Linked DNA regions of Ovis aries. The protein of the gene in region 2 interacts with the protein of the main gene of each other region in a biochemical or structural test. Links are inferred from orthologs where the notes say so. Each region holds a gene or a part of one and is shown on either strand. Other genes may lie near its edges.

What was found.
Region 1: the proteins of UBE2V1 (region 2) and PELI1 form a complex in vitro, tested with the Homo sapiens proteins (3 studies listed by BioGRID). The link is inferred for Ovis aries from reciprocal best matches to the Homo sapiens genes UBE2V1 and PELI1.
Region 3: the proteins of UBE2V1 (region 2) and STUB1 form a complex in vitro, tested with the Homo sapiens proteins (4 studies listed by BioGRID). The link is inferred for Ovis aries from reciprocal best matches to the Homo sapiens genes UBE2V1 and STUB1.

What each region holds. Positions count from the first base shown.
Region 1 is NC_056056.1:44,196,950-44,200,599, reverse strand, and holds part of PELI1 (E3 ubiquitin-protein ligase pellino homolog 1), read right to left. Parts: intron 486-3,650; coding exon 384-485; intron 1-383. UniProt on the Homo sapiens protein: E3 ubiquitin ligase catalyzing the covalent attachment of ubiquitin moieties onto substrate proteins. Involved in the TLR and IL-1 signaling pathways via interaction with the complex containing IRAK kinases and TRAF6.
Region 2 is NC_056066.1:78,130,688-78,133,595, forward strand, and holds the end of UBE2V1 (ubiquitin-conjugating enzyme E2 variant 1), read right to left. Parts: intron 2,390-2,908; coding exon 2,243-2,389; 3' UTR 638-2,242; downstream 1-637. UniProt on the Homo sapiens protein: Has no ubiquitin ligase activity on its own. The UBE2V1-UBE2N heterodimer catalyzes the synthesis of non-canonical poly-ubiquitin chains that are linked through Lys-63.
Region 3 is NC_056077.1:1,118,285-1,122,034, reverse strand, and holds STUB1 (E3 ubiquitin-protein ligase CHIP), read right to left. Parts: upstream 2,763-3,750; coding exon 2,604-2,762; exon of another isoform or gene 2,598-2,603; intron 2,113-2,597; coding exon 1,914-2,112; intron 1,828-1,913; coding exon 1,662-1,827; intron 1,621-1,661; exon of another isoform or gene 1,475-1,620; coding exon 1,387-1,474; exon of another isoform or gene 1,242-1,386; coding exon 1,185-1,241; exon of another isoform or gene 1,098-1,184; coding exon 981-1,097; exon of another isoform or gene 905-980; coding exon 779-904; 3' UTR 518-778; downstream 1-517. Other genes in the region: JMJD8 (jmjC domain-containing protein 8), read left to right, coding at 16-83, 167-301, 391-471; uncharacterized protein LOC101103616, read left to right, coding at 2,761-2,891, 3,299-3,392, 3,525-3,684. UniProt on the Homo sapiens protein: E3 ubiquitin-protein ligase which targets misfolded chaperone substrates towards proteasomal degradation.

The DNA.
Region 1 (3,650 bases), on a different chromosome or scaffold from region 2:
TAATAGATAATAGTAATTTTTACAGCTACCAATACTAGTAGCTAAGTGTTTACCAGGTACCTGGCACAGTTCTGAATACTTCAGAGGGACTAACACATTTAAGCTTCCTAATAGTCATCTGAAGGAAGTTCTATTATCTCACTTTATAGGAGGAAACTGATGCAGAGAGTGGCTAAGTAATGTTTACCAGAAATTCTGATATCAGAGCCCATCTCTTACCCATGCTATGTGGACTTTTATACATGGGGTTTAGAAATCAAAATATATTTTAATGAAATGCATTAAGTGTGATAACCTTTAAGCTGACCACAGCGAAAGTCAATTACAACAGGTTTTTAACCTTTTTTTGTTTTTTAAGAAAAAAAGTTTAGATGTTATAATACCTGAAACATATCAGTGTTGCTGTCATGAGTATATTCAACCACTACTGTCTGTGCTCGAGACAAGGTGTATGATATGCTATGCTGGTCCTTATTGCTTATTGCCTAAGAAAAAAAAAGATTAATAGCAGAAATTAGCAGGTACATCAATCTAAATAGATAACCATAATAGATAAAAGATAACCTTTTTTTCAAAAAAAAAAGAGAGGGAGCTGTGCTCATTATACTATAACAATGTAATTGGAAAAAGAATTTGAGAAAGAAGAGATACATATAAATGTATAACTGAATCACCCTGTTGCACACCCAACACTAATACATTGTATTGGAGTATATGTACTCCAACATAAAACAAAAGTTAAAAAAAAAATACCACTATATTGCTTCAAGGGTAAGTCAACTATTTTATAATTACAAAACAAAACATCTCTTATGTCACTGCTGGTATTCATTTCAACCATACACAGACGTATAAAAATATATATGTTAATACATAATCAAGGACATCACTGCTGCTACTTTGAATAAAATGTTTGATCAATTGAGAATAAGAAAAATAGAGGTTTTTATTCTTTCTTTAAAAAACAATGATCTATTTATTACATGTATGACATATTTTCCCCCTGAAATTTAGAGATTAATAACTTGCATAACCTTTGCTGTGACAGTGGTTTCTTAGAGTGAGTGGAGTACAGAAGAATTTAGGCAGACCTCATTTTATTATGCTTCACAGATAACTGAATTTTTTATAAACTGAAGATTTGTGGCAACTCTGCATTGTCAGATGATGGTTAGCATTTAGCGTTAAAAGTACTTTAAAATTAAGGGCTTTCCTGGTGGCTCAATGGTGGGAAAGTCCATGGAGAGGGGAGCCTAGTAGGCTACAGTCGATGAGGTCGCAAGAGTTGGACACAACTGAGTAACTTTCATGATGCTATTACTGAACACTTAGTTCTCAGTCACTCAGTCATATCCGACTCTTTGTGACTGATGGACTGTAGCCCGCCTGGTCCTCTATCCCTGGGGTTCTCCAGGCAAGAATACTGGAGTGGGTTGCCATTCCCTTCTTCTGGGGATCTTCCTGACCCATGGATTGAACCCAGGTCTCCTAAATGGAGGTGGTTATTTACCAGGTGGATTCTTCACTCTCTGAGCCACCAGGGAAGCCTGCACACTTAGGGGACCACAGCATGGTGCAAACATAACTTTTATATATATATTAGGAAATGAAACCAGTTGTGATTTGCTTTATTGTGGTGGTCTGAAACTGATCCCAAAATATATCTGAGGTCTATCTGTGCACTGAAGCAATTACAGAGTAAAAACATAAGTTCACTGTATAAAAAAATTGTAAAATCTGAGTCTCCATTATAAGTATTTCAAGTTATAAGATACTTAAAAATCAAATCCCAGATAGAAAATGAAAGCAGTACTCAGTACTGCTCTGATAAGGAGAAAACACAAAATCTTGCAAGACAAGATTATTTATTTAAGAATCTTATTTAATAACTCAAAGAGGCTTAAAGTTAACAAATAAGCAAAGTTAACTGGTTTTTCTAGCCACTCTGTGACTCTATAGATGACAAGTATTTGCCATATGCTAGGCTAGATACAGAAAAATTCATAGAATGATTAAACATACCAAAGGAAATGGATATAATGCTTATGACTGTACTTTTGACATATGCCAAACTAAAAACATTGTTAAAAAGAACTTCTCAGTTTTGTTTTCGGGCGTTTTCTATGCATATGAGTTGATGATAATATCAGAGGGGGAAAAACCTGCACAGAGGAAGTGGAAACAGGCTGTGTAAAAGAAACAGAGAAAGACACAGAAGAATGATTATATGCAGCAAAGAGGCTAAATGAAAACAAAAAAACACTTTCGTAATTAGAACTTTGGTATTATGAAATTTTACTTGGTTTCAATTGGTAGCTAACCTGTAATGATAAAGTCTTCATAGTTTTAAGATAATTAAGACTGTGAAATTTTCAAATATACAAAAAGAATATATAAATACCTGGGTACTAACTACCCAACTTTTATCATTCTTACTAATACCATTTCTGCTTCTGATATTTTAAAAGAAATTAAACTGCAGATATAATGAAGGCTGCTTATATGTCCTTCCCTACTCCTGTCTCTGTAGAGGAACTGAACCTCAAGAGTACAGTTAACGTCACTCCCATGCACTTTAACAGGCTTTATATGCAGGCTTTACCACACATTGATGCACTCATAAACATGACAAAATGGTTTTAAAGATTTAAAAATCTATAATTACTTTATCTCAACATTAAGCAGCTGACTTTTCAATGAAATAATTTTTTAGTACTTTGGCCATTAATTCTTAAAGGCTAAAGGGATTTAAAAACACAGGTTTTGTATACTTTGAGATTATAAACTGTGTTTTTTTAAACTATGAGATCTACTCAGATTGAGAATACAGAGCTGTGTCAAGTTAAATTCTCACTGGATTGGAAGTCAGGGTTTAAGCACTCATCCCAGATGACTGCTAGACTAAACAGTTAGTTTTCTCCCTGACCTCATTATACACTCCTCCAAAACTGAAAAAGCAGAAAGTCAATTTTTGATCCCTAAGATTCCTGCTGCCTAGTAAAGATGCAAAGGAGCCAGCAATGAAACATGAGAAGTATGACAGTAAAAACATGAAGAGACGTACACAACAGGAAATTACAGAAGCAAGGCTTAGAAAGATTTCCCTAGGATAGTAGTTCTTAACCAGAGGTAGTGTCAGCTGTGTAAGGGGCGTTTGCCGGCTGTGTTTGCTGGCCATCACAATGATTTGAGGGCTGAAATGGCATTCAGTGGGAAGGGACCAAGAATATTAGGTTGGTGCAAAAGTAATGGCTGTTCTGCATTGTTGAACTCTGCCTTTAATACTGGAATAAATTCCTAAATAAATGTGGCTATGTTATTATACATCATTTTAATGTGCATTTCTCACTTTATTTTTTTTGCTAATGACTTATTACTTGTTTATATTTATTTTAGACTACAGAAATGATGCTAGATATAAAGCAAATTTGGGCAATTTTTTTATTCGAGTTCAAAACGGGTCATAACGTAGCAGAGACAACTTGTAACATCAATAATGCATCTGGCCCAGGAACTGCTAGTGAACGTACAGTGCAGTGGTGGTTCAAGAAGTTTTGCAAAGGAGACAAGCGCCTTGAAGATGACGAGTGTGGTGGCTGGCTATCAGAAGTTGACAGTGACCAACTGAAAGCATCACTGAAGCGGATCCT
Region 2 (2,908 bases):
TAGCTTGAGTTTCACAAAGCAACATTTTAAATCTAAGGGAAAACCCTACCCCTCCTTTGCTGGTTTTTTAAGACAGGGGTTGGCAAACTATGGTCCATGGGCCAGGTCTGGTCCACCGCCCAGCTCTGTTTGGCCCCTCAAATGACGAATGATCTATACGGAGGAGCGTCTGCAACTGATCTGGTAACAGGGATGCTAACTTTGAATCCCAATTACGTTACCCCATAAAAAAAAGCATTCCATTCTTCTCAGTGTACCTGTTACCATTACAAAAAACTGTACTCAATTATGATATTTTGAATTTCATCCAAAAGTTGTGGAAATTTTGTTTTCTCGTTAAATAAACACACACATAATTTCTTTGATTTTGCCTCTTGGCCAATAAAGCTTAAACAGTTGGGGATTCTCTGGCTGAAGAATGGTTAGGATTCTGCCCTCACTGCTGAGGGCCTGGGTACAACCCAAGATCTCACAAGCCAGATGGAAAAAAAAAGCCTAAATGTTTACTAATTTGAACCCACTGTAGAAAAAGTTCCCCAACCCCTGCTTTTGGAAGTCAAATTGAACACCAAAGCATCTAAGACATTCAATTCTAATCCTGAATAAATTATATGCTGAGGAAGAAGAGCACAGCTTCTTAAATATTAACGCACACTTCTTTTTATTATATTAAAATCAGGCAATGGTCTGACAATAAAAAGACTGCTTATGGAATACTGTTATGTTAAACTTTACTTACAGGATGTTAAACCCTTAGAACTAAGGTTTCCTCCAGAAAAAGATTAATGGAAACATCAATTGCTTTTCAGACTTGATAGTTGCTGCTTCAAAAGGTGGTTTTACACAGACACTGAAAAAAAAAAAAAAAACCCTTGGAGCACAATGAATTGATTTTATTTCGGTAGGCATCCACATCTCAGCATTTAGTGGTCCTGAACAGAAAAGTGGAAAAATGCAGCGATTCGCCAGGAATTTCGGGGGTCTGCCGTGCACACCGAGGTCTTTCGTGACCCCTGCTGAGGGCCGGGAGAAGCAGCAGCACCCAAACCAAAGTATGCACCGGATTCAAGGCTCTTTTCGCTCCAGTTGTCAGCTTCCGAACCAGACCCGAGTGGACTCAAAGGATGGCCCAGTGAGAGCCCTGTGTAAAGCTTCTTCCATGTTAGAAAGCCAAAGCCTCTACAGGAAAAGGACAATTCATTCCGAGGGGTCGTGTGTGCTTCCAAGTGGCCTTCCTCCAAGTTTAACCACCAAGGAGGCCGCGAGCTGGCAGGCCTGAGTAACCCTGGTGACTGTTCTTTTCACCTTATCGAAACCTGAGCTAAAGAAACGCATCAGCTGACGATGACAGCAGAGGGTGGCAAGGCTGAGAACCCAATATTCGTTTCCCAGGCTGGTGGAGAGTAAATTGTGGTTCCAAGACTAAATGAGGGGAGGTCAGAGACTCTTTCCAACCTTACCTGATGGCTTCCGGCCAAAGCAAGGAAGCGTCATGGGAAGTGTTGGGTGTTGGTGGTGCAGAAAGGGACTTGAGGAGGAGGAAGGAAAAAGCAGCACCCCTCGATTTAGGTGGGGGGAGAAGATACGGGGAAAGCCCTGAATTCCTCACCAAAGGCCAATTTCAGAGGGGAGCAGAGGGGTTACAATCTATGCCTCGGCCAAGGGCGGCAGTGGAGGGTGGGGGGGGGGGGGAGGAGGATTGATGGCTTGGAAGAGGGGCGTCACTTAAGACTTAGAGAGAGACCAGGGATGCGGACAGAGCAGCCCACACGCCAGCAGTGTCCCCCAGGCTGTGACCTGAAACCTTCACGCCTACTCTAACAAGCCACGCCTAGCTGGAGGGCTGTTGCAGGGAGTGGGGAGGGGGGAAGGCAGAGACCCCAGGCCGTGGAATCAGCAGCAAGGTGGCTGTGTGATGTGTCTTTTCACAGTTGAGTTAGACGTGCCCCACCGGTTAGGATGGGAATCAATTTAAATATCACTTTCTTGATCCCAGAAGTTCAACTATGTGGACAGTGGTTACACTTGACAGGATGATTTGTTATAGCACAACTTATATATTTCAAATGGACAAAAAATTAGTATCATTTACAGTATCTTAAGATAAACTGCCTTTGAATGGGAGCTTTCTTTCCAGTACTTTGAGGTCTACAAGACGAATCTAGAAAATTTACTACTGTGGAAAATGAAGACTGCTTAAATCGAATGGGGGCAGGGGAGGACCTGTGGTTTTTCTTTTTGATTAATTGCTGTAACACTGTCCTTCAGGCGGCTGAGGAAGTTTCATATTTTCTTTAGACATCATTAGGCGCCGAAGCTCTTGCAGGACAACTTTGATGCTATACGAATTCTGCCATTTTGCTAGCACTGATATGGCTCTTGGGTCCACCTATAGAAAGGCAAAGATAAAACAAATTACTGTCAGGCTCTCAAACAAAAGGAAAGCTGTGTGCTGGAGCTAAGCTACAGCAGAAAAGTGAGTGAGAAGCATTTTTCAGGTGGAACATGCTGGTCACCCAGCAGGACTGACACGCGGAATGCCCACGGGGTTCCCTCCCTCCCGCTGGTCTGCTTTGCCCTTGTTTGGGAACCCTCATGGCCTGGAAGGAGGGAATTAAGGGCAAGTAAAAGCCGCCTTTACAGATGAGGCACCAACGCCTGGTGAGGCTCAGCTGGCTGTGAAACGACGGCCCCGCCTGCTGGGCGAGCTGCGGCCACCGCCCAGGGCCTGTCCTCCCCACTCTGTGCCCAGGTGGCGGGCGATGCTCAGGGCCTGTGCTACCCACTCTGTGCCCAGGTGGCGAGCGATGCTCAGGGCCTCTCCTCCCCACTGTGCCCAGGTGGCAGGTGATGTTCAGGGCCTGTCCTGCCCACTCTGCACCCAGGTGGTGGCCACCGCTCAGGGCAG
Region 3 (3,750 bases), on a different chromosome or scaffold from region 2:
TAACTTGCCTCACAGGAGCTGGCTCTGGGGTGCCCTTCCACTGGCATGGACCTGGGTTCTCGGAGGTGATCTATGGCCGCAAGGTCAGCACAGGGTGCAGGCTGAGACTCTGGGTTCACTGACCAAAATACAAAGCATAACTTTGCTGCTCCCCGCCAACCCCCAGCGCTGGTTCCTGTACCCTCCTGAGAAGACACCCGAATTCCACCCCAACAAAACCACACTGGCCTGGCTCCAGGACACATATCCAGCCCTGACACCATCTGCACGGCCCCTGGAATGCACTATCCAGGCTGGTGAGGTCAGTGGCTGGCAGACGGGCCAGGCTGAGCCAGGCCAAGGACCCCCATCCAACCCATCAACCCACATGTCCCCCCAACCCCTCGCCAGGTGCTGTATTTCCCGGACCGATGGTGGCATGCCACACTCAACCTCGACACCAGCGTCTTCATCTCTACCTTCCTCGGCTAGCCAAAGGGGGTGGCTGGCAAGCCCACCGCACACCAGCACACATCCCTGCAGTACTCACAGGTTTTATTACAGGGACAGAGGTGGTGGCAGCAGCCTCAGCCCAGCCCAGCCTCACCCCCCCTTTCCGGCCCAGAAGGAGGATGAGAGGCGTGTTGCCCAGCAGAACTGATGGGGGTGGGGGTGGGGACACCAGGGTAGGGATCCAGGGACACAAACTATATACAGAAAACTAGGGGCTGCTGCCCCAAGGCCCTCCTGAACTAGGGTACCGGGCAAGGCAGGTGGGTGGCCCATACACCCACCCTGCTCAGTAATCCTCTACCCAGCCATTCTCAGAGATGAAGGCATCGATGACCTCTTTCATGGCCAGGTTGGGGATGAGCTGTTCCTGGGTCAGGGGGCTCCGAGTCACAGGGTCAAAGTGGCCCACGCGCTGCAGTGACAACAGGGCAGAGTCAGGGGCTGCTCAGTGCGCGTGGGCCCTGCTGCCAGCGCCCACAGACCCTCACCTGCAGGTGCTCCTCGATGTCCTTACGGTCGTATGTGATGCCACTGGGCGTGATGCAGGGCTCCCGCATCAGCTCAAAGCTGATCTTGCCGCACAGGTAGTCAGGGATGTCTCGCTTCTGCAGCACACAGGGTTGGATCAGGTCAGGGGCTGGGAAGGGACACTGCTCTAGCTACCCACCGGCCCCAGAAGACGGGCAGCTCACCTTTCTCTTCTCGTCTACCTGGGAGAAGAGCTCGTCCATGTCTGCCAAGTACTTGTCCTGCAAAGAACCAAGCAGCCACTTGTGGGCCTGACACCCCTCTCCCCTCCCCAGACACCGAGACACAGACCCAGCAGGAGCCAGGGCACCTCACATCACAGCGCACGCACACACAGGACCCACACTCGGGCTGGGGCACCCTCACATGCTTGGCCTCAATGCAGGCCTGCTGGGCCCGTACGTGGCTGTCGTCCTCGTCACCCTCGTGGTTCCGCTGACACTCTTCCAGTTCCCTGGGGGTTGACCAAAAGGTGTTCAGAGATGGGTCTGGCCAGGGGCAGTCAGACTCCACTCCAGACTTAGGATCATTCAGGCCCCTTTCCCTCCATCTCCTGCGTGCCAGAATTGGCCTTCAATAAACACTTGTGTTCACACCTCAGAGTTAACCTAAGAGTGGTGACTCGAAGAGGGGGAGCCCACCTCTCACGCTCAGCCACAATGAGCCGTGTGAGGTAAGAGTGCAACTCATTTTCCTGGTGGATGCGTCGCTCCTCGATGCTGTTCCAGCGCTTCTTCTTTGCGATGCGCAGAGCACTGGGGATGTCATCCCCAAAGTTGAGCCGCTGCTCCTTGGCCAGGTTGTAGGCTGGGGGATAGAGCATTTGGGTAAACTTCAACCAGTCCACCCACCTGGTCCCAGGCACCCTGGAACCAGCTAGCCTGTAAGCCCACCTCGCTGCAGGTTGGCAATAGCCTCATCATAGCTTTCCATCTCCAGCTGGCATTGCCCCAGGAAGAAGTGTGCCTTCACAGACTGCCCGTCCAGCTCCAGGGCGCGCCGACAGTCGGCCAGGGCTTGCTCGTGCTGCTGCATCTTCAGGTAGCACAGTGCCCGGTTGGTGTAATACACGGCCACCAAGGGGTTCCGGGTCTGGGGACCAAGGCCGGGCCAGCCAGCATGAGGGAGTGAGCTCAGCCTGCCCACTCCGTCCCAACTTGAGGCCCGCGGTTGGAACCAAGACACTAGCATTTTCTCAGCTTCCAAGCCCCTGGGTTCTGAGGGAGGGTGAAGCCTACGTGAGCCCACTCTCTGGACTCCAATGAGTCTTGTGAAGGTAGTTTTCCCGGACTCATGGAAATCCCCAGCATCGCGTTTGACTCCTCAAGGGGCAGGGATGCCTGGTCCCCAGCCCAGTGGGCCTCGAACACCTACGGTTCCCACCCAGCACAGTTCTCTGGCAGCCCGCACTGGCTCGGGAAAGGCGCGGCCTTGGCCCCAGACCCCAAGCACCCACCCCCTCCCTCCGAAAGTCTGGCGGGCACGGCCTGACATGTTCTGAAGAGGGCGCGCGGCAGAAGCCGCAGCTCGGCCCCTCCCCTGGCTCGGACGCCAAGCCCCTCCCGCAGCGCGGGCGCACTCACGATGGCGCGGCCGTAGCAGGCCGCTGCCTCCGGGTACTTGCGGCCCACGAAGAGCCGGTTGCCCTGCTCCTTGAGCTCCTGTGCGCTCGGGCTCTTCTCGGGGCTGCCGCCGCCGGCGCCCAGCCGTGCGCCGCCCTCCTTCTCCTCCTTGCCCTTCATGGCGCCGCACGGCACCGCCTGGGCTCCGCTCCCAGGCTCCGCGCCCAGCCCGCCCTGCGCCCGCAGCCCGAGCCCGCGATCCGCTCGGGCTCGGTCCAGCGCTCCGCCACCGGAACTTCCGGTCTGCAGGTAGGCGGGGCCAGCGGAGCGGACCGCCGCACGGGTGGGCGGGGCCGTGCGTGCCCCCGGCGCGCTGTGGGGGCGGGGCCGGCAGGGAGGGGGACTCTGGCAACGCGACGCGGCGTCAAGGTTTGCGACGCGCTGGGTCACCCGGGCAGACGCCCGCCCGGCCGCGCTCCGACGCCCCGCCCCCGAGGCCTCGCCTGGCGCGGGGAGATGGCCGCGGCTGGCGGGCTCTGGAGCTGTGAGGACCCAAGCCGCTGGGCCGCCGTCTTGGAGTGCCGCGGGGCGGTGCTGCGGGCGCGCGCGGGCCCCCAGGGGCGGCTGGAAGCGCTGGACCGGTGGTAGGGCGGAGGGGGCAGGGGCGGGCGGGCCGAGCCCCGTGGCCCGGACTCCGTAGCGCCGCCTTCCCCCAGGTACCGAGAGGAGCTGCCCGCGGCCATCGGGGCCCGCGCGGAGAAGCACGTGACACTAGACGAGCTGCAGCGGCTGCTGGCGTGGAAACTGGCGGTAAGGCTTCCCACTTGGGGCGCGGCACAGCCACGTGGGTGGGGCTTCCCAGGGGGCTCACCCTCGTGGCAGTCTTGAGGGGCCTCCCAGCGAGGGCCGCCACCCGTGACACCCGACCCGACCTGGCCACAGAGGGGCCGCTTCCGACCGCGCCTGCAGCAACTCGTGGCCGCCAACTCTCCGGAGCTGGTGGTGCAGCGTTCGGCCGCCGCCTTCCGCCTCCTGCCAGACATGCACGCAGCGGTCATGGCTCTGTGCGCCCTCCGTGGCGTGGGCCCGGCTACCGCCTCGGGTTAGTCGGGAAAGCTGGACCACCCCCGGGCAGGGTCGCTGGCGGAACCTGGCCTGTTAGTGTCCT